Linked DNA regions of Lepisosteus oculatus. The protein of the gene in region 1 purifies or fractionates together with the protein of each later gene. This does not show direct contact. Links are inferred from orthologs where the notes say so. Each region holds a gene or a part of one and is shown on either strand. Other genes may lie near its edges. The genes, in order: tnrc6ba, protein argonaute-3 and ago4.

The links.
Region 2: the proteins of tnrc6ba (region 1) and protein argonaute-3 purify together in Homo sapiens (affinity purification with mass spectrometry; 6 studies listed by BioGRID and IntAct, with this or other methods). This does not show direct contact. The link is inferred for Lepisosteus oculatus from reciprocal best matches to the Homo sapiens genes TNRC6B and AGO3.
Region 3: the proteins of tnrc6ba (region 1) and ago4 purify together in Homo sapiens (co-immunoprecipitation; 3 studies listed by BioGRID and IntAct, with this or other methods). This does not show direct contact. The link is inferred for Lepisosteus oculatus from reciprocal best matches to the Homo sapiens genes TNRC6B and AGO4.

Annotation. Positions count from the first base shown.
Region 1 is NC_090707.1:38,380,351-38,387,503, reverse strand, and holds the start of tnrc6ba (trinucleotide repeat-containing gene 6B protein), read right to left. Parts: upstream 3,068-7,153; 5' UTR 2,910-3,067; intron 2,504-2,909; coding exon of another isoform or gene 2,294-2,503; intron 565-2,293; coding exon of another isoform or gene 387-564; exon of another isoform or gene 376-386; intron 1-375. Other genes in the region: probable endonuclease 4, read left to right, coding at 387-564, 2,294-2,503, 3,068-3,250, 4,909-5,040, 5,267-5,371, 6,171-6,300, 6,870-6,927.
Region 2 is NC_090706.1:126,515-133,937, reverse strand, and holds the start of protein argonaute-3, read left to right. Parts: upstream 1-4,423; 5' UTR 4,424-5,024; coding exon 5,025-5,043; intron 5,044-7,423. Other genes in the region: ago1 (protein argonaute-1), read left to right, coding at 106-214.
Region 3 is NC_090706.1:162,850-170,594, reverse strand, and holds the start of ago4 (protein argonaute-4), read left to right. Parts: upstream 1-4,688; 5' UTR 4,689-4,832; coding exon 4,833-4,851; intron 4,852-7,745. Other genes in the region: claspin, read right to left, coding at 328-400, 499-555, 804-947, 1,437-1,798, 2,017-2,137, 3,065-3,088.

The DNA.
Region 1 (7,153 bases):
CGCTGTCTGTCCCCATGGGAGCAAGCAGACGACGGGACGGCAGGGCTGTGTGCTGTCACTCTGAGCGGATTCCAAACCCGAGCTCTCCCAAGTTTGTGCAACGCCACGGGCCGCTTGCACACACCCGAGCAGCGCCGCGATAAATCGCAAAGCATGCCTGAAAGAAATGCCGGTGCTGCGTCAGACAGCATGCGGGACTCCAGCAGAAAAACACACCGAGTGCCGTTAGAGCACGGCTCCGTCTCTGGGCGCGCAGGTGTCTGCTGGGGCCGATGAGCACAAGCTGAGTTTTCAGAGGTGGTCCTGGGGGGGGCGGTGTCTTGTCTGTCTGTCAGTCCGTGCAGGGGGTGAGCCGGCTGTCTCCTCGCCCCGCAGGGCTGGCGGCGATGGGGCCGAGGAAGCGGAGGACGGAGCCGGAGACGGCGGCGGTGGAGACGAGCGCGCAGGCTGGAGGGGAGGGCCGGCGCTCGCAGCCCCCGGGGCAGGAGGGGGCGAAGAAGAGGGTGGCGCGAGCGCAGGGAGGAAGGGAGAAGAAGTTTATCGGGGCGCACGTGTCCATAGCAGGTATCCCGGCACGCACCGTGGACAATACACCCACCTGTAACACGCAGGACGGAGCAGTTGATGACCTTGCTAACACACCCACGGATGTGAATTCACCCTGTGGGTCGTGTGCTTGTTTCGTAGGGGCGGGCATCTGTGACTGTGTCGCCCTGCGGCTAATGCGAAATCAACGTGTTTTTTCCACATTCTGTCGCGTGGACACTGTTCCCTGTCCCTGTATCTCCAGGAAAGCAGCAGAGAAGCGGCGATCTGCCTGCAGCTGTTGCCTTGTCTGCACATCTGTCAGCATGTCCGCACGCCGTCTTTAAAACCGCCTTTTAGTTATTTTTATTAGTGTTTTGTTTATCGAAGAGCATAAGAAAGGCTTCAAACGAAAGGAGGGCAAGTGCTCTCTCGAGCTGTTCTGGGAAAGTCTCTAGGACGTGTGAGTACACCTGTCTCGGGTGTCTTTGCTGTTGTCCTGCTCTGGTTTTGCAAAGCCCTCTGGGACATTGTCATGTAAGCTGCCCCAGCAGTTACAGATCATTACTAAAGCTCCCAAAATGAACACAGCTGCACAGCTGGGGCAAACTCCACCTGCCCCCACAGGCTCTGCCCTTATGGGCAGATCTGAGCAGAGGGTGGTCTCGGTCAACAGTGATGAGCTGACCAACCAGTCTGCTGGCAGTCTGAGACTGAGGCCGTCCAGTGAGTCCAGCAGACTGGACCCCAGTTCTCTGTGTCCTGGTCCTGGAGGAACACTGCTGGTGCTCATTCCAGCATGAACTGGGGTACGAACTGATCTGCTGGCTTGTTAGGACTTGAATTCAGCTTGTTTCTTTGGTCAGTCCTGAATGCCCAAATGCCCACATTCAAGCTCACTGTTTGCAGCTGACTGTGCACGGAGTGTCACTCAGTTGTTCCTGAATTTGCTGGCTCTTATTTCCGGTTAAAGAGCTCCTGCTAGTTAATCAGATATGGCTGGGAATGAGACTATATTAGGGCACACCCTCAACGGGAGGGGCATTGCATTAGACACGCCCATAGTAGGAGTGGCACTGTCAGCCATGCCCACAGGTGTGGGGAGACTCGCATGTCCCTACATCCATAGCAACATTATATCAGACACGCCCAGGGGTGGGAGAGACAGGACACTTCTCAGACGCGCCCACGGGTGGGAGAGACAGGACACTTCTCAGACACGCCCAGGGGTGGGAGAGACAGGACACTTCTCAGACACGCCCACGGGTGGGAGAGACAAGACACCTCTCAGACACGCCCACGGGTGGGAGAGACAAGACACTTCTCAGACGCGCACAGGGGTGGGAGAGACGACACGTCTCAGACACGCCCATGGGTGGGAGAGATAGGACATGTCTCAGACACACCCACGGGTGGGAGAGACAGGACACTTCTCAGACACACCCACGGGTGGGAGAGACAGGACACGTCTCAGACACACCCACGGGTGGGAGAGATAGGACATGTCTCGGACATGTCTCAGACACGCCCACAGGTGGGAGAGACAAGACACCTCTCAGACACGCCCACGGGTGGGAGAGACAGGACACGTCTCAGACACACCCACGGGTGGGAGAGACAGGACACTTCTCAGGCGCGCCCGGGATATTTCCAGGATCTTGGACGGATTCCTCAGGCCTCTGTGGACAGGGGTGACACCTGGCGGGCTCTTGGGGGTGAGCAGGTCTCAGCCCACAAGCGTTGCCTCTCGCCCTCTCGCCCTGTGCAGGGGGCATCTGGAAGGCGGTGGAGGAGTGTGTGTCCTTGGGGGGGCGCTCTTTCGCCATGTTCCTGGGCTCCCAGCGCTCGTGGCAGCGCCCCCCCCTGGACGAGAAGGCGGCGGCCAGGTTCCGGGAGGCCTGCCGCGAACACGGGGTCGAGCCCGCCTTCATTCTGCCTCACGGCTCCTACCTGATGAACTGTGGCTCGCCCAAGCAAGGTGCGTGAGCAGTGCCCCCATTCCAACTCTACTGGTGTGTCTCTCTGTCCAGATCTGTGACCTGTCTCTCTCTCTGTCCAGCTGTGTGTGAGATCTGTGACCTGTCTCTCTCTGTCCAGATGTGTGTGAGATCTGTGACCTGTCTCTCTGTCCAGCTGTATGTGAAGAGCTGTGACCTGTCTCTCAATTCAATTCAATTCAATTCAAGGTGCTTTATTAGCATGACCGATAGGTACAATCAGTGTTGCCAAAGCAAATAAAAATAATAAAATTAACATAGAACAAAACAAAAAATAGAAGTAAAATAAAATCTACAGACATGTTACAGACATTTACAACAAAGACATATTATATAATATTGACATATACTGTAGGCGGCTGGAGCATTATTGGGAGACGGACTCACTGTTCCTCAGGCTGTGACAGGAGATCACATACTGGGCTGCCAGATCAAAAAGATCTCTCTCTCTCTGTCCAGATGTGTGTGAAGAGCTGTGACCTGTCTCTCTCTCTGTCCAGCTGTGTGTGAAGAGCTGTGACCTGTCTCTCTCTCTCTCTGTCCAGATGTGTGTGATAAGAGCAGGGTCCTGCTGGTGGACGAGCTGTCGCGCTGTGCTCAGCTGGGCCTCTCCATGTTTAACCTGCACCCCGGGGCGTCCCTGGGTGACATCACCACTGACCAGTGCATCCAGCGCATCGCCGAGGCGATAGACCACGCCCACCGCCAGGTGCCTGCTGTCATGACGGGTGAGCTGGGCCTGCAGACCCTTCACACACACTGACCGGTGCACACAGACACACCCTCACACACACTGACCGGTGCACACAGACACACCCTCACACACACTGACCGGTGCACACAGACACACCCTCACACACACACTGACCGGTGCACACAGACACACCCTCACACACACTGACCGGTGCACACAGACACACCCTCACACACACTGACCGGTGCACACAGACACACCCTCACACACACACTGACCGGTGCACAGACACACCCTCACACACACACTGACCGGTGCACACAGACACACCCTCACACACACTGACCGGTGCACACAGACACACCCTCACACACACACTGACCGGTGCACAGACACACCCTCACACACACACTGACTGGTGCGCAGACACACCCTCACACACACACTGACTGGTGCGCAGACACACCCTCACACACACACTGACCGGTGCACACAGACACACCCTCACACACACTGACCGGTGCACACAGACACACCCTCACACACACACTGACCGGTGCACAGACACACCCTCACACACACACTGACCGGTGCACACAGACACACCCTCACACACACTGACCGGTGCACACAGACACACCCTCACACACACACTGACCGGTGCACAGACACACCCTCACACACACACTGACTGGTGCGCAGACACACCCTCACACACACACTGACTGGTGCGCAGACACACCCTCACACACACACTGACCGGTGCACACAGACACACCCTCACACACACTGACCGGTGCACAGACTCTCCCTCACACACACTGACCGGTGCACAGACTCTCCCTCACACACACACTGACCGGTGCACAGACACACCCTCACACACACACTGACTGGTGCGCAGACACACCCTCACACACACACTGACCGGTGCACACAGACACACCCTCACACACACACTGACCGGTGCACACAGACACACCCTCACACACACACTGACTGGTGCACACAGACACACCCTCGCACACACACTGACTGGTGCACACAGACACACCCTCGCACACACACTGACCGGTGCACACAGACACACCCTCACACACACTGACCGGTGCACAGACTCTCCCTCACACACACTGACCGGTGCACAGACTCTCCCTCACACACACACTGACCGGTGCACAGACACACCCTCACACACACACTGACTGGTGCGCAGACACACCCTCACACACACACTGACCGGTGCACACAGACACACCCTCACACACACACTGACCGGTGCACACAGACACACCCTCACACACACACTGACTGGTGCACACAGACACACCCTCGCACACACACTGACTGGTGCACACAGACACACCCTCGCACACACACTGACTGGTCCACAGACTGACCCTCACACACACACTGACTGGTGCACAGAAACACCCTCACACACACACTGACTGGTGCGCAGACACACCCTCACACACACACTGACTGCTGCACACAGATACCCTCACACACACACTGACTGGTCCGCAGACACACCCTCACACACACACACACACACACACACACTGACCAGTACACACAGACTCTCCCTCACACACACACTGACCGGTGCACACAGAGACAGCCTCACACACACACTGACAATGCCAGGGCCAGCGAGGCCTGATCTCTCCCGGCTCTGTGCCTCCGCAGTGCTGGAGAACATGAGTGGGCAGGGCAGCACGGTGGGCGGCCAGTTCTCCGAGCTGCGCGGGATCATCGAGCGGGTTCGGGACAAGAGCAGAGTGGGGGTGTGTCTGGACACCTGCCACGCCTTCGCCGCGGGTGAGGGGGCCTGACGGGGCCGATCCCTTCCCTTGCTCTGTGCCTCGCCACCCTCTCCCTCCCCTTCATTTCCCACAATTCCTCTAGCCGGGACCCACGCTGTCTGCACTTCCTCTCTCTGTGCCTTTGAGTCTCAGAGCGTCTGAACTCATCTTCTCTCCATCCCACACCCCTCTCCCTCCCTCCCTCCCTCTCTCTCTGCCCCTCTCTCTCTCTCTGTCTCCAGGCTATGACATTTCTGCGGCCGGAGGGATAAAGAAGGTTCTGGATGAGTTTGACTCTGTGGTGGGGCTGTCGTATCTCAGAGCTCTTCACCTCAACGACTCCAAAGGTGAGTCTCGTGTCCCCGTCTGTCCCTGTCTCTGCGTGCGCACGGCTCTCTCGTCCCCGAGACCGGCTCTGGCCCTCCAGGGCCACAGCCCAGTGGGACTCCGGGGGCTCCAGACTATCCCAGCCTGGGAACGCGTAATGTTCTGGGGTGTGACTGTGGAAAGAGTTCATGTTAACGCCAGACCTGAATTGAGCCCTTCTCTGCACCTTAAACCAAGGGCCCAGAAATCTGCTTGTCCGTGGCCCTCAGGGTCCCGAACTGGGGTGATCTCACGCTCCACCCCCCCTGCCCCTTGACCTCCAAGGTGAGCGTGAGGTTTGACTGGGGAGCTGGGAGGTCACTCCTTTGGCTCCCTGCATTTCAACTGCTTGCCACTAGGGGGCACTGAAGCTCTATCCTGCAAAAGTTCACTGTAGTTATTGGAGGTCAGCAAGGTAATGCAATGGTTAGCGTTGCTTCCTCACAGTGCTGGGGCCCTGGGTTCAATTCCTGGGGTGCTGTCTGGGTGGAGTTTGTATGTTCTCTTTGTGTTTGCTCCTCTTTCTTCCCACAGTCCACAAAAGCCAGGCTGGTAGGTTAACTGGCCCTGGTCTGTGTCTGTGTGTGCCCTGATGGACTGGCGTCCTGTCCAGGATGTACCCCGTTCTGCGCCTGGTGCTTGCTGGGATAGGCTCCAGCTCCTCTGTGAAAGTGGCCTCTAGTGGTAGGGAGTGGAAATGCAGGGCAACTGGAGCTCAAACAAGTCACCGCATCGCGCCCCAAATCTGTGTCCCCCCCCCTCCCTCTGCTGGCGTTCCAGGAAAGCTGGGGTGTCATCTGGACCGCCACGAGGACATTGGGCGCGGCCAGATCGGCCTGGCAGCGTTCCGAGAGCTGGTCAACGAGCCGCGCCTGGACGGCATCCCCATGATCCTCGAGACGCCGGGCCGGTGAGTGTGGCGCGGGCGGCAGGGAGACGTTTTTTCCCCGGCGTTCCCAGTCCGGTCCTGGTGACCCCCACTGCTGCTGGATCCCACACCCTCCCGCCTTCCTGGGGCGACTGGCGCCTTGACTGATCTAACAAGTTCCTTGCCATTCATACCTCTAACTCTGTCTCCCATCTGATCAGTGTCCTGGTGCTCATGGACAGCCCCCAGTTTCCTGGGACAAGAGCTGGCCTGTGTGTTAATCACCATCCTATTCTTACCACAGCTAACATGTCTGTTACCACCGGTAACGCAGAGTTCAGTTCTAAACGTGTACCTGTGAGATGGAGACGCCGCAGTCAGGGGTGACCAGCAGACCACTGGGACCCGCAGGCCAGCAGGTTTTACGATGCCCGTTTTGATCAATTTAGCGATGTTTTTTTATTTGACGTCAGGAAGGGTCAGGTGTGGCTCATGAGGGCTGCAGGGGACTGTGACATGATCTCTAAACTGGACCCTACTCTGGAAGGTTGTGGGTTCGAATCCCAGGTGAGATACTGCTCCAGTAAGTTTCTCTTTGCTGCCCTCCACAGCACAGGGTTCGAGTACGCGGAGCAGATTGAGCTGCTGTACTCCCTCTGCGAGGACTAGGGGTCAGAGGTCAGAGGTCACACCGCGATGTTCTCAGCGTTCCTTCCCCCCGGACTGGGCAAGGTCACTGCCTGTCCTGGGTTTTGTATTTTTCTACGTTTTTGTTTTTGACTGTGTCTTTTTTTCCCCGGAAATGTTGTCAAATTAAAAATATTACCAATAAAGTTCCAGATGAACGTGAAAGCTCTCGCTTCTGGTCTTGGGCATGTGTGCAGATGTGTGGGGA
Region 2 (7,423 bases), on another chromosome or scaffold:
ATGGTGTCGTTCTCGCCATGGTGCTCTGCTCTCCAGTGAGCTGGAGGCCGTTGTCTCGGCGGTGCTCTGCCCTCCAGTGATCCAGGGTCTGCCTTTCTCTTGCAGTGGGGAGGGAAGCCACATCTCCGGCCAGAGTAACGGTCGGGACCCCCAGGCCCTGGCCAAAGCCGTGCAGGTTCACCAGGACACCCTACGGACCATGTACTTCGCCTGAGCCGCGCCCTCCCAGCACACCTCACGGACCTCACTGAGCCAGAGCGGCCCGAACCCAGGGCCGTCCTCCTGAAGCACAGACTGCTGCGAGCAGCTGGACGTGGCTCCGCACTCACCAGGAAACTGTTTCTAAGACTCCGGGATTTTATTTTTTTTATATATATTATATATAGAAGTATATATATTTACACTTCCGAGTATGTATGCAATACTGAGGAAAGGAGCTGAGGTCCTTGACTGCCCACACATGCTGCCTCTGTCTGTGGACTCGCCTCCCACAGACAGCCCGTAGAGTTAGATCTGCAACGTGTTGAGGAAGTTTTTTTTACTGAAAAAAACTTTCCTTATGTTTTTATCCTTTTGTTATTGTTTTAAAATGTTTATTTTTACCCAAGGTAAGGTACAATAGCACTTGCTTGTCTTAGGCCTGCTAGGCTGTGTGTTCGCAGGGAGAGGAGGGAGGGCCGTAGGTCAGCGTGCTGTCGATTGGAGAGTGCCTTACCACAGTGCTGGGACGAGGAGAAGCAGCTGCCCGTATGGACACACTGGTGCCAGGGCCCACCTGGGGTGCTGGGACTCCTGACTCTCCCTCTGATTTGCCTGTCCCTGCTGCTCCGGAGCAAACAAACCGGTCTGCACAGGAGGGAGAGGTCAGCAGAGACCTGGATGAGCTATGTGTGCTCGCTAGCTCTGTGGAGCTGTGGAGGAAAGCCCAATGTGAACTGAGCTGTGGGTTCAAGACCTCGCAGGGCCTGCATCTTCAGCAAGTCCATCATTTCATCTGTCCACGTTCACAGTCTCCTTCTCTGTCGTCACTCAGCTTTGTGCAGCGATTCACCAGCCGGGAGCACGGTGGCTGTGGGACTGTACACAGACGCAGGCCACGCGGCAGCGTCCTCTCGAGCAGCAGCTTGGCTTCTGAAGACAGCTGAGCAACACTTCTATGCATGTCCACAGGGCACACGGGTTACAACAACGCTGACGGCGCACACTCCTCTGTTCTTCCTCGCACGCTGGTCTCGCCTGTCGAGGGCTCTCTGCGTGCCCTGCCAGACCCCTGGCACAGCGACAGTCTCTCCTCTCCGCGGCAGCTCTATTGCGCCCCGCAGGGGGCAGAGAGAGCCAGGCTGTTGCTCTTGGCTGCAGCTGCCCCCTAGAGAGAGAGGGAGCATCGTCTGTTGTCCAGCAGCTGGAGGTGTGCTGCAGTGCACGATGTTGACCCAGGGCAGCTTGACTCATAATTACAGTGTTCTGGGCCCAGTATAGACCCTCAGACAAGGACTCGTGTTTTCCAAGCGGTTTTGACAAATTCCATCCCTGTTACTGGTCCCTGTGTCTCACTGAAGCCCCAGGTGCTTTTTTTTGTTCAGTAGCATCAATTACTATGTAAATAATGAAATATAGGACCCTGCCTGCCTATGTTTAGATTTAAAATATTGTCAAAACTTCTCAGAATGCACAGATGTGGTTCTTAGTCTGACGGCATAATTTGCTCAGTTTGAACATCGGTGAATAGCGACAGACGCCCTGCCTGCAGTATCACCTGGTCTCCTCCGGGGGAGCCCCTGACCTCTTACCCAGCTATGCAGAGATGCAGAGATGCACTGTGCACTCCTTCGCCCACAGCTTGGACATCTCTTTCGCTGCTCCCTCAGCTCGGGCCCCAGCTGCTCGGGGTCAGTGCGGGATGGGGGAGTGGCCGAAGGGGAGAGACGAGAGCCGTGTCGCAGACCGGTGCCAGGATGTGTGCGAGCGCAGAGTCCAGGCTGAATCAGCAATATGCCACTGCGGACTGTAGTCCAGATATAGCACTTCCGAACAGAACCGATAGGGAATATGGAAACTAGTTCTCATGGGTCAGTATTAAATAGTGTGAAATGTTCTGGTTATTTTTTGAATAAAATGTGTGTTTTTATTATGCTTGTGTTTGTATAATTTTTCTTTAGCATTATTTTTAGACACTTCAGCTTTTATTTTTTATGCATCCTGAAAGACTGTGATCACTTAGTTTAAAGGGAGTGATATCAGGCCTTTTCTGGGCCGTGAGTTCATCTGTGTTTGAACCCAAGGCCAAGGCTGTGGAGGGCCTCGTGCTGAAAAGCTCTATACGAGTGCAAGGTATTGTTTTTCATGTTTATTATTAACTGGCGCACACAGTAGCAGATGGGCACTGTCACTGTCCACCCACACGGGGTTTCTGCCAGGTAGCTCTGTGGTTGAGGGGCATTAGGGGCATCCCTCACTGGTGCAGACGCTGCCCTAGAGAGGGGAGAGGGTGAAAGCTCCAAAATTCCTGGGGCTTCTGATTGTGACGGCTGCTTCATTTCCAGATTAATACAATGTAGTTTTGGCTATAGTTTTCATTATTTTACACAGTTCTAACCTAAACAAAGCTGATAAAAATAACTTGTTGGTAATCGCTGTATTAACTGGCCGAACTGCTTCAGAATAGTGGACTATGAAGCACAGTGGTGGCAGGCGTGTCTCCTGTGGGCCAGGCGGACTCCTCCACACTGGTTTGCGTCTGAGCACTGGGTGTCCATTACCATGACTCTTGACTAGACAAGTAGCAAATGACCAAGTGCATTCTGAAACACCTTTTTATATACCTGCTTAATTATATGGACTAGTATAAAATTGTTTTAACATTGTTTTGACCTGAAGCTTGATGCCAGCGTGGTTGTCCCCTCTGGACACTCTCTATAGTTGAGTGTAGAAAAAGGGTCTTATGTTATTGCACCACCTATTGAAGGGGCAGTGTGGACACATCCATCAGGCCTGCTTGGAAAAGGAAAGAGTAAATCAAATAAACTGCGCAGGGCAGACCCAGGGTGCTGTCTGTGTGGAGTTTGCATGTTCTCACTGGGTACATGAGGGTTTCCTCCTACATTCCTGTGGGAGACATGGAAAACTGTCCCTGGTGTGTGTGTGTGTGTGTGTGTGTGTGTGTGTCCTGTGATGGGCTGGCCCTGGTGTGTGTGTGTCTGTGAGTGTCCTGTGATGGGCTGGCCCTGGTAAGTGTGTGTTACTGCCATGGGTGGACTGGTGTCCCATCCAGGGTGTGTCCTGCCCTGTGCCCAGTGCTTGCTGGGATAGACTGGCTCCCCTGCGACTCTGGTAAGAAGGATAAAGTAATACTTCTAATTGGAATAAATTATTAACAGAACAAATTTTCAAAAGGCAGGAAATCAATTCAAAATACCTATGCTATTAAAAGCATATTTAGGGATGATGATGAACTAAAACATGCACAATTTAGAATTCAAAGCCTGTTGATCTCAACTGGCACAACTACAGAAGGTCCTAGAGACGTTAATAAAGACACAGCGAAACAGATTCTAGCGGAGCTCTATCGGTTATTTGACTTTTTCCTGTGGCGCTGACAACATAAATGAATTGATTGTGGTAAAAAAAACAAGTCCCTGTGTCCTTGCAGTCGATCCAGGACAGTACAGTCATGAAAACAGGGGGTCTCAGCCAGGAGAGACAGTGCAGTAAAAACAGCACCAGAGCTGGCCGGTGGGCAGACACACTCCAGGGGCAGGAGCGGCCCCTCAGACCAGTGTCCAGGGGCAGGAGCAGCCCCTCAGACCAGCATCCAGGGGCAGGAGCGACCTCTCAGACCAGCGTCCAGGGGCAGGAGCAGCCCCTCAGACCAGCGTCCAGGGGCACGAGCAGCCCCTCAGACCAGTGTCCAGGGGCAGGAGCGGCCCCTCAGACCAGCGTCCAGGGGCAGGAGCGACCCTTCAGACCAGTGTCCAGGGGCAGGAGCGACCCCTCAGACCAGCATCCAGGGGCAGGAGCGACCCCTCAGACACACTCCAGGGGCAGGAGCGGCCCATCAGACCAGTGTCCAGGGGCAGGAGCGGCCCCTCAGACCAGTGTCCGGGGGCAGGAGCGACCCTTCAGACCAGCATCCAGGGGCAGGAGCGACCCCTCAGACCAGTGTCCAGGGGCAGGACCGACCCTTCAGACCGGTGTCCGGGGGCAGGAGCGACCCTTCAGACCGGTGTCCGGGGGCAGGAGGGGTTAACAGCGGCCCTGAGCTCAGCGGACGGCAGGCGAGCTCCCCCTGCAGGCTCCGGCAGGAACACCGTGTGGGGAGCCGGGGAACACGGGTGTGCATTATTAATACCTCTCATGAATAATGCAGACCTCGGCTCATGAATAATATGGTTTGCTCGGAAGTGACGGTGTTTCCTGCAGTTAGTGAGAGAGACGGTATTTCCTGTCAGGATTTCCCCGAGCGAGGATCACTGAGACCGGGCAGCGGACCAGCAGCACGTCGGGGAGCGACGCCTCGGTCTGCCGGGTGAGGAGCAGGGCTACTGCGGCCGCAGGGGCAGGGAAACACCGGCGGGGCAGCCGGGCTCTGTCGGCGGGGGTAGTGCGGACGCGGAGCCGGGAGAAACTGCGCCTTTCGGCTCAGACGCCGACGGAATATCGGGGAGACAATCGAGCCGCCCGTCGGGGACGTGAGAGAGGTAAATACCCCGAGGAGACCTCCTCCTGCCCGGCGGAGCCGCGGAGACCCAGCGGGACCCGAGGGCAGGGCCCCGGGCGAGCAGCGGCGCAGAGCCCGTCCACAGCGGCCGGCGCAGGGGTCCCCGGCCGCGAAGAAGCCGCCATCAGCGGACCGAGCCGCGGGGGAGCGGGCCCGTGTTCCGGGCGGAGAGTCTCCGCGGAGGACTCGGCCTCACCAGCGCGGATCGGGCCGGGCCGGACAGGACCGAGCGGAACCGAGCTGTTGGAGCTCAGACCCTGGACCTGACATTTAGGAGCCGGCGAGGAACCGGACAGAGACCTCATGAATGGAAATCGGAACTACAGGTAACTGTGCCACCGAGTGTAGGTAGGGCGCCGTGGGAGTGTGGCGTGGCTGCAGCGGAGCCGTGCTGACCTGCCCGCCCACTGTCACGGACAGGTGTCCCCTCAAGGTGTGCCTGAGCGGCGGGGCGGTGCGGTCCTGTTCTCTGTTTCTCGGGCTCCCGTCGGGGGGGGGGGAGTTTGGATCAGAACCGGGCTGAGCCGGGAGTGGGGTGTACTGTCTCTGGCTCAGGGCAGCGCTGGTTCTGTCAGGAGTGGAAGTGGAGTGTCCTGTCTGTGGCTCAGGGCAGCGCTGGGCTGTCAGGAGTGGGAGTGGGAGTGGGAGTGGGGTGTCCTGTCTGTGGCTCAGGGCAGCGCTGGGCTGTCAGGAGTGGGAGTGGGAGTGGGGTGTACTGTCTGTGGCTCAGGGCAGCGCTGGGCTGTCAGGAGTGGGAATGGGAGTGGGGTGTCCTGTCTGTGGCTCAGGGCAGCGCTGGGCTGTCAGGAGTGGGAATGGGAGTGGGGTGTTCTGTCTGTGGCTCAGGGCAGCGCTGGGCTGTCAGGAGTGGGAGTGGGAATGGGAGTGGGGTGTCCTGTCTGTGGCTCAGGGCAGCGCTGGGCTGTCGGGAGTGTGAGTGGGAGTGGGGTGTCCTGTCTGTGGCTCAGGGCAGCGCTGGGCTGTCAGGAGTGGGAGTGGGAGTGGGAATGGGAGTGGGGTGTCCTGTCTGTGGCTCAGGGCAGCGCTGGGCTGTCGGGAGTGGGAGTGGGGTGTCTTGTCTGTGGCTCAGGGCTCAGGGCCAGAGTGGGAGTGGGGTGTCCTGTCTGTGGCTCAGGGCAGCGCTGGGCTGTCAGGAGTGGGAGTGGGGTGTCCTGTCTGTGGCTCAGGGCTCAGGGCTCAGGGCAGAGTGGGATTGGGGTGTCCTGTCTGTGGCCCAGAGTCTGTGGCTCCTGCCATGAGTGGATGTGGCTGTTGCCTGCCGTGGTGTGGGAGCCTGTAGCTGGGGTGACTCCTGCTGGACTATAGGTCTGGGCCTCATCCTGAGATGCTCTTGAGCAGCTTGCTGTCCCATTGGGGACGGCGATCGCAGTCCCTGGAACCTCTCTCTGAGTCTGGGTGGTTCTGTCAGCTGTGCCTTGGCTCCAGTTTCGGTTGTCGGTTTGTTACATGAACGTGCAGGGAACCTCTCTCCTGGGTTGCTGTGGGCGTGAGGCCAGCAGTGGAGAGCTGTCACAGGGGTAAGCTGCTGTCGGAGAGGAGACTCTTGACTCTCTGCAGTCACACGGACTCAGGCTGTGGCTGAAGCGATTCGTCTGGTGGCCTGCTGGAGATCTTGGGGGGCTGGAGAGCTGGGCAGTGATCTCCTGGCCCAGTGTGGTGCCTGTTGAGTGGCTGGAGAGCAGGGCAGTGATCTCCTGGCCCAGTGTGGTGCCTGTTGAGGGGCTGGAGAGCTGGGCAGTGATCTCCTGGCCCAGTGTGGTGCCTGTTGTGGGGCTGGAGAGCTGGGCAGTGATCTCCTGGCCCAGTGTGGTGCCTGATGTGGGGCTGGAGAGCTGGGCAGTGATCTCCTGGCCCAGTGTGGTGCCTGTTGAGGGGCTGGAGAGCTGGGCAGTGATCTCCTGGCCCAGTGTGGTGCCTGTTGAGGGGCTGGAGAGCTGGGCAGTGATCTCCTGGCCCAGTGTGGTGCCTGTTGTGGGGCTGGAGAGCTGGGCAGTGATCTCCTGGCCCAGTGTGGTGCCTGTTGTGGGGCTGGAGAGCTGGGCAGTGATCTCCTGGCCCAGTGTGGTGCCTGTTGTGGGGCTGGAGAATCAGGTGCTGAGTCACTTGCCTTTCTGGGTGAGTCATTGCTGGGGCTGAGCTCAGTAACCAGTTGCTGTTGGATCACTCTGACAGGTCACTTTCTGTCCAACCAGCACTGCCTGTGGTTGTACCAACAGTAGTCTCAGGGCAGTGATGAGCCCAGATGCAGCAGGGTGAGAATAATGGTGCGTAGTCTCTAGTCATTAGTATAGAAAGATTTAAGCTGTACAAGAAATGCTTGAGTTGCCATTAAGGGTAGCAGTAATTGTAACCTCATGCAGGATAGTAGCTTGCTTCTAGCCTGTGCAGGTTTGACTCAGTCCTGTCCTCTGACGTGGTGCTGTTTCTCTGAACCTGTCCCTGTCCTACTCTTCGATCACAGCCCTTGTCCACACACTCTGACCTGCAGGCACCTGGACACGGCTGTCCAGCACACTGACCCTCATGAGGGAATATGCCCTCTGGCCCCCGGTTACTCTGCAGTGGTGAGGATTGCCAGAGCTGTCCTGACACTGCCTCACAGCTCTGTGCTGGTTGGTTCAGTGAAACGTTTTTGTATCTGACTGGAACTTTTGTTTTTATATTTGTGGTTGGCTGGTGATCTTA
Region 3 (7,745 bases), on another chromosome or scaffold:
AAGATTTATTCCAGGCTGAAAGAAAAAGGACAGAGAATGTTTTGGCTGTGGACACTTCTTCAGGTGTCACAGATGTCCACACCTGAAGGCTCCATAGCCAAAACATTGCATCTCTTCTTTTCCTTTCAGCCTGGCATTGACCTTTTCCTGTTTACATTAAAATACCTAGGACTGATTAAACAAAGTTATTATACTTTTGTGTCTGTGCTTAATTTGGTTTCTTGATTTAAAATATCTGGCACATCTCACACCCCCAGGAGGGACGGCTGCACCCCAGGTGAAGAAGCACTGCTAGACAGTCAGCAACAGGGAGAGACAGGCTCTTACCTCGTACGAGTCTCTGGCTTTCGCTGTGCAGCTGTTTCATGGCCTCTTTGCTGGCCCGGGCTGCTTTCCTCTCCTGACAGAGAGGAGAGGACAGAAACGCACAGGAATCAGACACCGAGCAACAGAAGCAGCGTTCTACAACAAGAACGCAAAGTTCAAAGGTCACCTCACCTTCCGCTCTGGTTGACACACCCCCTCAGCCTCCTCCTTTTCCCTCCCGGCTCTCTCCTGGGGACAGGAAAAACACGTCTGTACACAAACCTCAATCTGCCGAGACAAAGTGCTCGAGACCCGCTTGGACAATAAAATGCTGGACCCTGCTTTACAGAAGAGCATTAGACACTTTTGCCAGCACTAAAGGACTCTGTGACTAAAGTCAAACGTGCAGAAGTGAAAAGAGGTTTAACTCCTCATTTCCCCCAACACAGCAGTGCAGACAAGAGTCCTGCAGTCGCCATGTCATGACCTCTGCTCACCTTATGCTTCTTCACCTTGTTTTTCATCGCTGCTCTGATGGCATCCAGGGACTCCTCCTCTTCCTCCCCCACACCTGTGTCAAACAGGTCACTGTCTCTGAGGAGGCAGCCACTGTCATTAAAGGAGGGGGGAGCAGTGGGCTCCTAGATTAGGGAGAGAGTGAAGTGGTTGCTGTCCTAATGTTGGCCTTGTTTAGCGAATCAGCCACACACCCCACCCAAACCTCACTGATGCCCCATCCAGTTAAATCCACATTCAAACTGTGCAGTCACAGAACCGATATAAGCTTACACATCACATGACACTCATTCAGAAGTATTTTAAAATAAGCACAAAAAGTTAACATAAAAACCTGTCCAACAATCAGTGACTAGACAATTTAAGAACATGCAGTGTATTTAAAATGTTTCTGTGGACCAGGATAAATTAAGACTGCAGAACAGCCAAAGACATTCAATATTTTTGTTAACTATGAAGTCTGCTGAGCAGCTCTCCCCTGACACAGCACTGACAGCCAACCGGGCAAGCAGGACAAAGCTGGCTGGAGCACTACCTGTCTGACGCAGGCACACCTGTGCTCGCCGCCCTTCCAGGCCCAGGGCTGCATCTTCCCAGCTGCGCCCTGTACGTACCTCTTTCCTCCTGTTCCTCTTCGCTCTCGGCGCAGCCTCTGCCCTCCTCTTGTCCTTCTCCCGGCAATGCTCGGACCTCTCCTCCCGCTTCACCGTCTCCCCAGCAGGGGACTCTCCCTGTGCCTTGCCGGCCTGCCTGTCCGTCTCCGCCTCGCTGTCCTCACTGTCCCAGGCGGCCTGCGCCACCCTCCTCGTCCGCTGTCCTGTCCTCCCGCCTCCTCCCTCCTGCCTCTCCTCCTCGCTGGACTCCGACAGGGCAAGAGCCTCGGCCGGCCCCCCTCCCTCCTCGGCCTCGCTGTCGCTGTCGCTCAGGGCCGTCCTGCCGCGCGGCTTCCTCTTCACAGCCACCTCGCCGTCCGAGTCTGGAACACAAGACGTCTTTGACACGGACCTTCCGAGGCGACGCACACGAGACACTCGCTTCCGAACGGTCCGGACCATCGTCAAACTGCTCAGTTATGAGACACAGGGTAACTGTACAAATCCCCCCTGCGGAGCAGGCAGAGCCTCAGGAGGTTCAGAGTGACCCCACTGCAGAGCCCTCAGAGCTCTGTGGCGTTATACCCCCGGCCCCGCTGACCTTGGTCCTCGCTGCTCTCAGCCATCGCTGGGGCGCCCCCCGTGGGCACAGGGGGGCTCAGGTCGCAGCTGCCCTTTCCGCTGTCGGAGTCGCTCTCCTCCACGGGAAGCACGTCCGGCGCCTGGAGAGAAAACGGGTGGCCGTTACCTACGGGCACGACGGCACAGCGCAGCGTCACCACAGACGGGTCCCGAGGACGTGGGGTAGCATCTGTATCGAGCATCGCTATAGTTAGACATGATTTACTGCAGATTGACTTCACTGCAATACATCAACAGGATGGCTTACAGTTACAACACCGCACAGCTGGAGAAACCTGAACACTGACCGGCTGGCGGTGACACAGCCGAGTTCGGCTACACAAGAAAGGTTATAATCGAGCACAGCCATTCCTCCCATCTGGCCGATGGGCTTACTGCCCCTGTGATCCCATGGAAACCGCCCTGGGGGTCTGCTCTGAGCTCTGCGAGTGGAGGACAGTGCCTCCAGCCGGCAGTGCGACACTCCAGAGAAGGAGCAGCTCATATCTGCAGCAACAGCTCGGTGGGCTAACAACACCCAGCGACTGGGCCCATGATCAGACCCGAGGTCCCGACTGCTCGGAAGAAACTCGCGTCGGGCCCTGTACAGTCTGACCGCCCTGGCAGACCCCGGACTGAAACGGCAGCGCACCAGCCGAGACACAGGCCGAGTGGCGAAGCAGGAGCCCCCGCTATGAACCCCGCTCGCACGTTGAACCACCGGACCGCGAGAGCGGAGCAGCGCGCCCCCCAGCGGCCGGGCCGGGAGCCAGCCGAGGCGGCAGAGAGCCGCTGCCACGAAAAGCTCAGCAACCAAAACAAACCGCAGACTTTCCTCCCGAGGCCCGGAGAACACACCCCGGGTCAGACGGCTCGGTTCCGCTGGCGGTGCTGCTGCGGCCCGTCCAGCCCGCCCGGACCCAGCCCTCTCGGAGGCCGGACAGCCGCACAGCAGCACACAGCCCCCCCAGAGCACGAACCGCGGGTCTTTACGAACACTTCGCCACCGTGACTAAAACAGCACAAACCTGCTGGGACACGGCCGCACTCATGGCGACGGGCTCTTTTCCGCTTACACTCGACAACACAGACTCATGAAAACGCACGCAAGGCCACGTCCACTTTCTCGCCCTCCTTGACAAACTATTTAAACAGTTAAAATAAACCAGATAAACAGATGAGATCTAATCCGCAACAGTAACAACTCGTAGCTGCCCGCCTGCTTCTCCCTCCCGCGCGCTCTCTCAGAAAGGACTTTCAACCGCTCGCGCGCCCAGGGCGCCATCCCGCCCCTCGCCCCCTCCTCTCCCTCCTGACTGGGCTGTCGGCCGTCAATCCCGCCTCGCACCCGCCCACCTCGGCAGACTTATTCCACCTCGGGGGCTGCCGACGCTCCCAGCCACGCCTCACGCAAGTGACGGACAGCAGCAGGGACCAATAGCGAGTCGCAGTGCACTCGGGGGTCTGATTGGAAAGCTTGGTTTTGTGTAGTTTTTCTTGGAATCACAAATACAGTAATGCTAAAGAACTGTGAATTAAATAAAAATATTCTCTTTCTAAAATAAAGCAAAAATAAGCAATCACCTTATTTTAAATAAAAATATAGATGTGAATTTTATCCCCCCCCTCACTTTGTATTGGGTAAGCTTAACGGTAGCTCACAATATTTATTGCAGTTTTGTTAAAACAATACTCAGCCCCTTTGATTCCGGATACTCTGAGACAAAACAGGATTTCAACGTTGCCCTGAAACTGAACCTCATTAAAATGTAAACAGCGCTGAAACTTTTAACTATTTGTACTAAATGACCACCGACTGCGTGACAATACGGTGGTTTTAAAGTAATTTATAAGAATAAAAAGCATGTCATATTTTTTCAATTTAATTTAAAAATCTTTTCTGGCAGACGCCCTTAATTTGTACATTACAATGAGGATTAAATAAATAAGAAGTGCAAATTATACTTTATAAACCTGCTGGTTTTACCTGAGCTGCTGTGGGACAGGGCTGCAGCTACAGGACGGCTGTTGCAGAGCAGAGCAAACAGCCACGTTAACAGGAGTAAAACAATACAGATCACTGACGAATGTGACGATTTCACAGACACCCACACATTTTGGAACCTGAATGAAAAGTATAAGCTGTAGCATGATACACTCCGTTTTCTCCCTGTGCTCCCCAGATGCATGTCGATATAAACGCGTTTTCTCCTCTGTGACTCCCCGGACCCCAGCACGCTGAGCAGCCCAGGCTCTGACAGAGCTCCGCACAAGAGATACTGTGAGCGCGGGACAAGGCTTTTCAACGGCGTTGGTAAAAACGGAGCTGAAATGCTGCCAGTTTACGGAGATGTCAGACCTTTCAATTAACTGCGCTGCCCCCTCTAGCGGCCGGTATGATAACTTCCTGCTTCCTCCCTGGTAGAATTATTTATAAAAACCGCGGGTAAACCGCTGACAGGCTAACCAAAGCCTCATCCAACGGGAGACGAATTCTCCATGTACTATGCTGCCCAAATAGATGTCGATAACCAAACCCCCGGGAGTCCACAGCCGCCTGTGCTGCCCGTCTCCGTGCGCTCAGTTTAAATCCCCGGACGGCGCAGGCGCACAGCAGGGGCAGCGCTCGGCGCGCAGGCGCACTGCCGCACTCCCCGGATCCGCTTTAAACCGAGCGGCGACAGCGGACCTCAGTTTCTCAGAGTGGACCCTCTCAGCTTCGCGATACCGCCCCCAATCTCAGTGTCGGTACGGAGCCGCCAGGCCGGGACAGAGACGGAGAGAGAGCCCTCGGCCATGGAAGCGCTCGGACCCGGTGAGAAGAGGCGCTGGCAGGCCCGGCAGGGCAGGAGCGGGGGGCCCGGGTCGCTCGCTCACTGGGGGCCGGGGATTGCGAGGCCTCCGCGGGCGATCGGGAAGACGGAAGGAAGAGCGAGGTCGGGAGGTTAACCACACGGCACGGGGTGTTGCCTGCAGGGCTCTGTCCCTCACGGAGGGCTGGTGTCCGGTGTGGCCGTGTGCCGCAGCCCCGGGTCGCGCTTGGAGCGAAACGTCAGGAGCGCCTTTCCGCGTCTTCCGCGTCTGTTGTTGTTGTCGTGCTCAGCCTGCGGGCTGCGGCGGGTCCGAGAGCGAAGGCGGCGGAGCTTCGTGTCGGTTTGCGAGAGCGGATTTCAGCTTCTCTGTCCGTCTGGTTTCGTCCACCACGGTGGAGCCCGGAGCCTCGGTCCCTGTGCTTGCAGCTGTCCCGGAGCTCTGCGTGATCCAGCTGTCGGGTGTCTGTCGCTCGCTGCCGGCCGGAGCGGTGGCACAGTCCGGTCTCTCTGCTCGCTGACCAGCACGTTTACGGCGTCTTTGCGGTGTCTGTATCGGGATGTGCAGCCTCACCGAAGCCCGAGTGGGGTTTAAACTACGGGAAAGTGCGGTTTATGTGCCTCTGCGTGGAATAATCCTCTTATTGATGTATGTAGAAATCCCCGATAATGTTAGGAAGAATTTTAAAAGTAGTTTACCTAATATATGTATCAATAAGTACGAAAGTGATTTAATAGCTTAAGTGTTTTAAATTGTTGTTTAACTCAAAGCTATTGTACCTTTTAAAATAAGTTATCCGGGGTAAAAAATGCTTCCCACATGGGAATTGTGGTACATAAAAGGGCAGTGGCTGGGATTCTGGTGTCCTGCAAATGTGTACAGTCGGTGTTTTTTCAGGATTTGCTTGTAATTCATAAGAAGGGCACTATCTGTGGACTAGTAACCCCTTGTCTTCTGGAGTAAAGATTCTTTCCTGGGCCAGGCAATGGAAGTATTATTATTATTCCTGTATATAGCAGACCCCTTCATTCAGTGTGAATGGCAAACTGGAAAGTTTACTTGTTAATACGAGGAACAGTCGTGCAGCTGCGTGTCCAGTCTGCTCCTCTCCTGACGGGCGAAGGCAGCCGTAGGGGTGAAACTGCACAGGCTCTGGGGATGCAGGGTGGTAACTTATGCACCTACTGGGTGCTTACAGCTTGTCTGCAGTGATTAAATGCAGTTGGTACGTTGCATTACTATTTTGAGAATTAAGCCCTTGTAGTTCAGTCCCCATGTCTGTATAGCATGCATCATCACAATGGGTCTTGGAGAGCTGGGGTGCTGCATCGCCCTGTAGACACAGAACAGCAGCAGCCCCCTTACGCAGCAGAGCAGGGGCAGAGAGAAACTGGGAACCAGTGGGGAGGTTAGGTTGTCTGAGCCCAGTTTGGGATTAACACCCTTACAGACAGCCTCGGGACCCATGTAGATTTTGGCTTAACTCTTGCTGAAGGGAGGGCACCTCATGCAAAGGTGATGAGGGGCTGAGGGGAAAGGGAGGCTGGCGCCTGGGATCTGGTAGAGAAGAGATGCATGGGGTCTGCTGGAAGAAGAGCATCGAGTCCAGGAGGAGGTGAAAGGCATATAAATAGTGAACATGAGAAACTCTGCGTCCTTCGCGTTGAGTGTGAAAGACCATGACAGGAGGTGAGGACCTGGGGAATGAGTGTAGAGAGGAGAGCGGAGACCCAGGACAGAATCCCAGGATCCACAGGGAGCGCACCGGTGGACAGAGCGAGTCCAGCCAGGGCTGTAGATCCCCACGGATCCGCAGGGAGCTCTCTGACCCGCCTGGACATGCCTTGATTTACAGGTTCATAGGACAGGGCTAGGCTGCTCTGTGTAGCCTTATTCTATGACCTGTGCGGTGTTGCTGCTGAGCTCTTGATATCCTCAGACATCCTGCAGCTCTTTCACTCTCGGTGTTGTCTTTTCCTTGTGGCAGGCAGGGCCTCTGTCCTGTCGCAAATTCGTCATTAATCCCATCTGCCTTGCAGGTGTTCTTAAACCCCTCTTTCCAGTCTGATTATTGACTGATCACTGCCAAGACATTGACTCCTCAGTGCAAAACACCTGTTCCCACCAGTACCTTCACACAGGTACATTCACGTGCTTTGATGGATATGTTGTTAAAAATCCATAAATGATGTTTTTCACTCATGAGCTGTGATAACATTAGGTTGGTGCTGTATTTATGAATAGAATGCTTTTGAAAGTTAAGGATGAAGTGTTCTAACCCTTCATGAACACAGTCTGAAGTGTCTTGCTTCTGTGCTGCTTTGCTGGCTGTTCTGTTCTTGATTGATTCTTCCACCTCTTGATTTGCACATCAAACTGGCCAAGTATTGAGTTGGATAATAGGGGATGGGAATACGTTTGGCCCAGTTTGAGTCCTGCTTCCACAGAATTATCATTTGAATGTTATCACGTCTAGAGTTTTCTGTACTGTAACCTTCTGTAGATTATACACCAGCATTGTAAATGACAAAGCGCTGCTCAACTACCACCCGAGAGCAGGGAGATGCTGCTGTAAGAGAGGTGAAAGTGTGGAAGAGCCAGGAGGCAGAGGAGCTGCCTCTCTGCCCGTCCGTTCAGGGAAACCAGACCCTGGATCATTCAGGGCAGCTGGGGCCCAGAGTATCAGGCCAGGTGGCCTTTGACCTGTAGATTGTTACAGTAAGACCAGGACCGCAGGTTAGCAATGTGGCTTCTTCCGGTGTTCGTCTGCCTTAGTTAAGGGTAAAGAACTGATTTTTTTCTACTTTGGGCAAACTGCCCATTGGACCCCTTTTCGAACGAAGACGCTGACCTGTTTCCTCTCTTCTAGATGGGTGGAATGGCCTCCTCTTGTTTGTA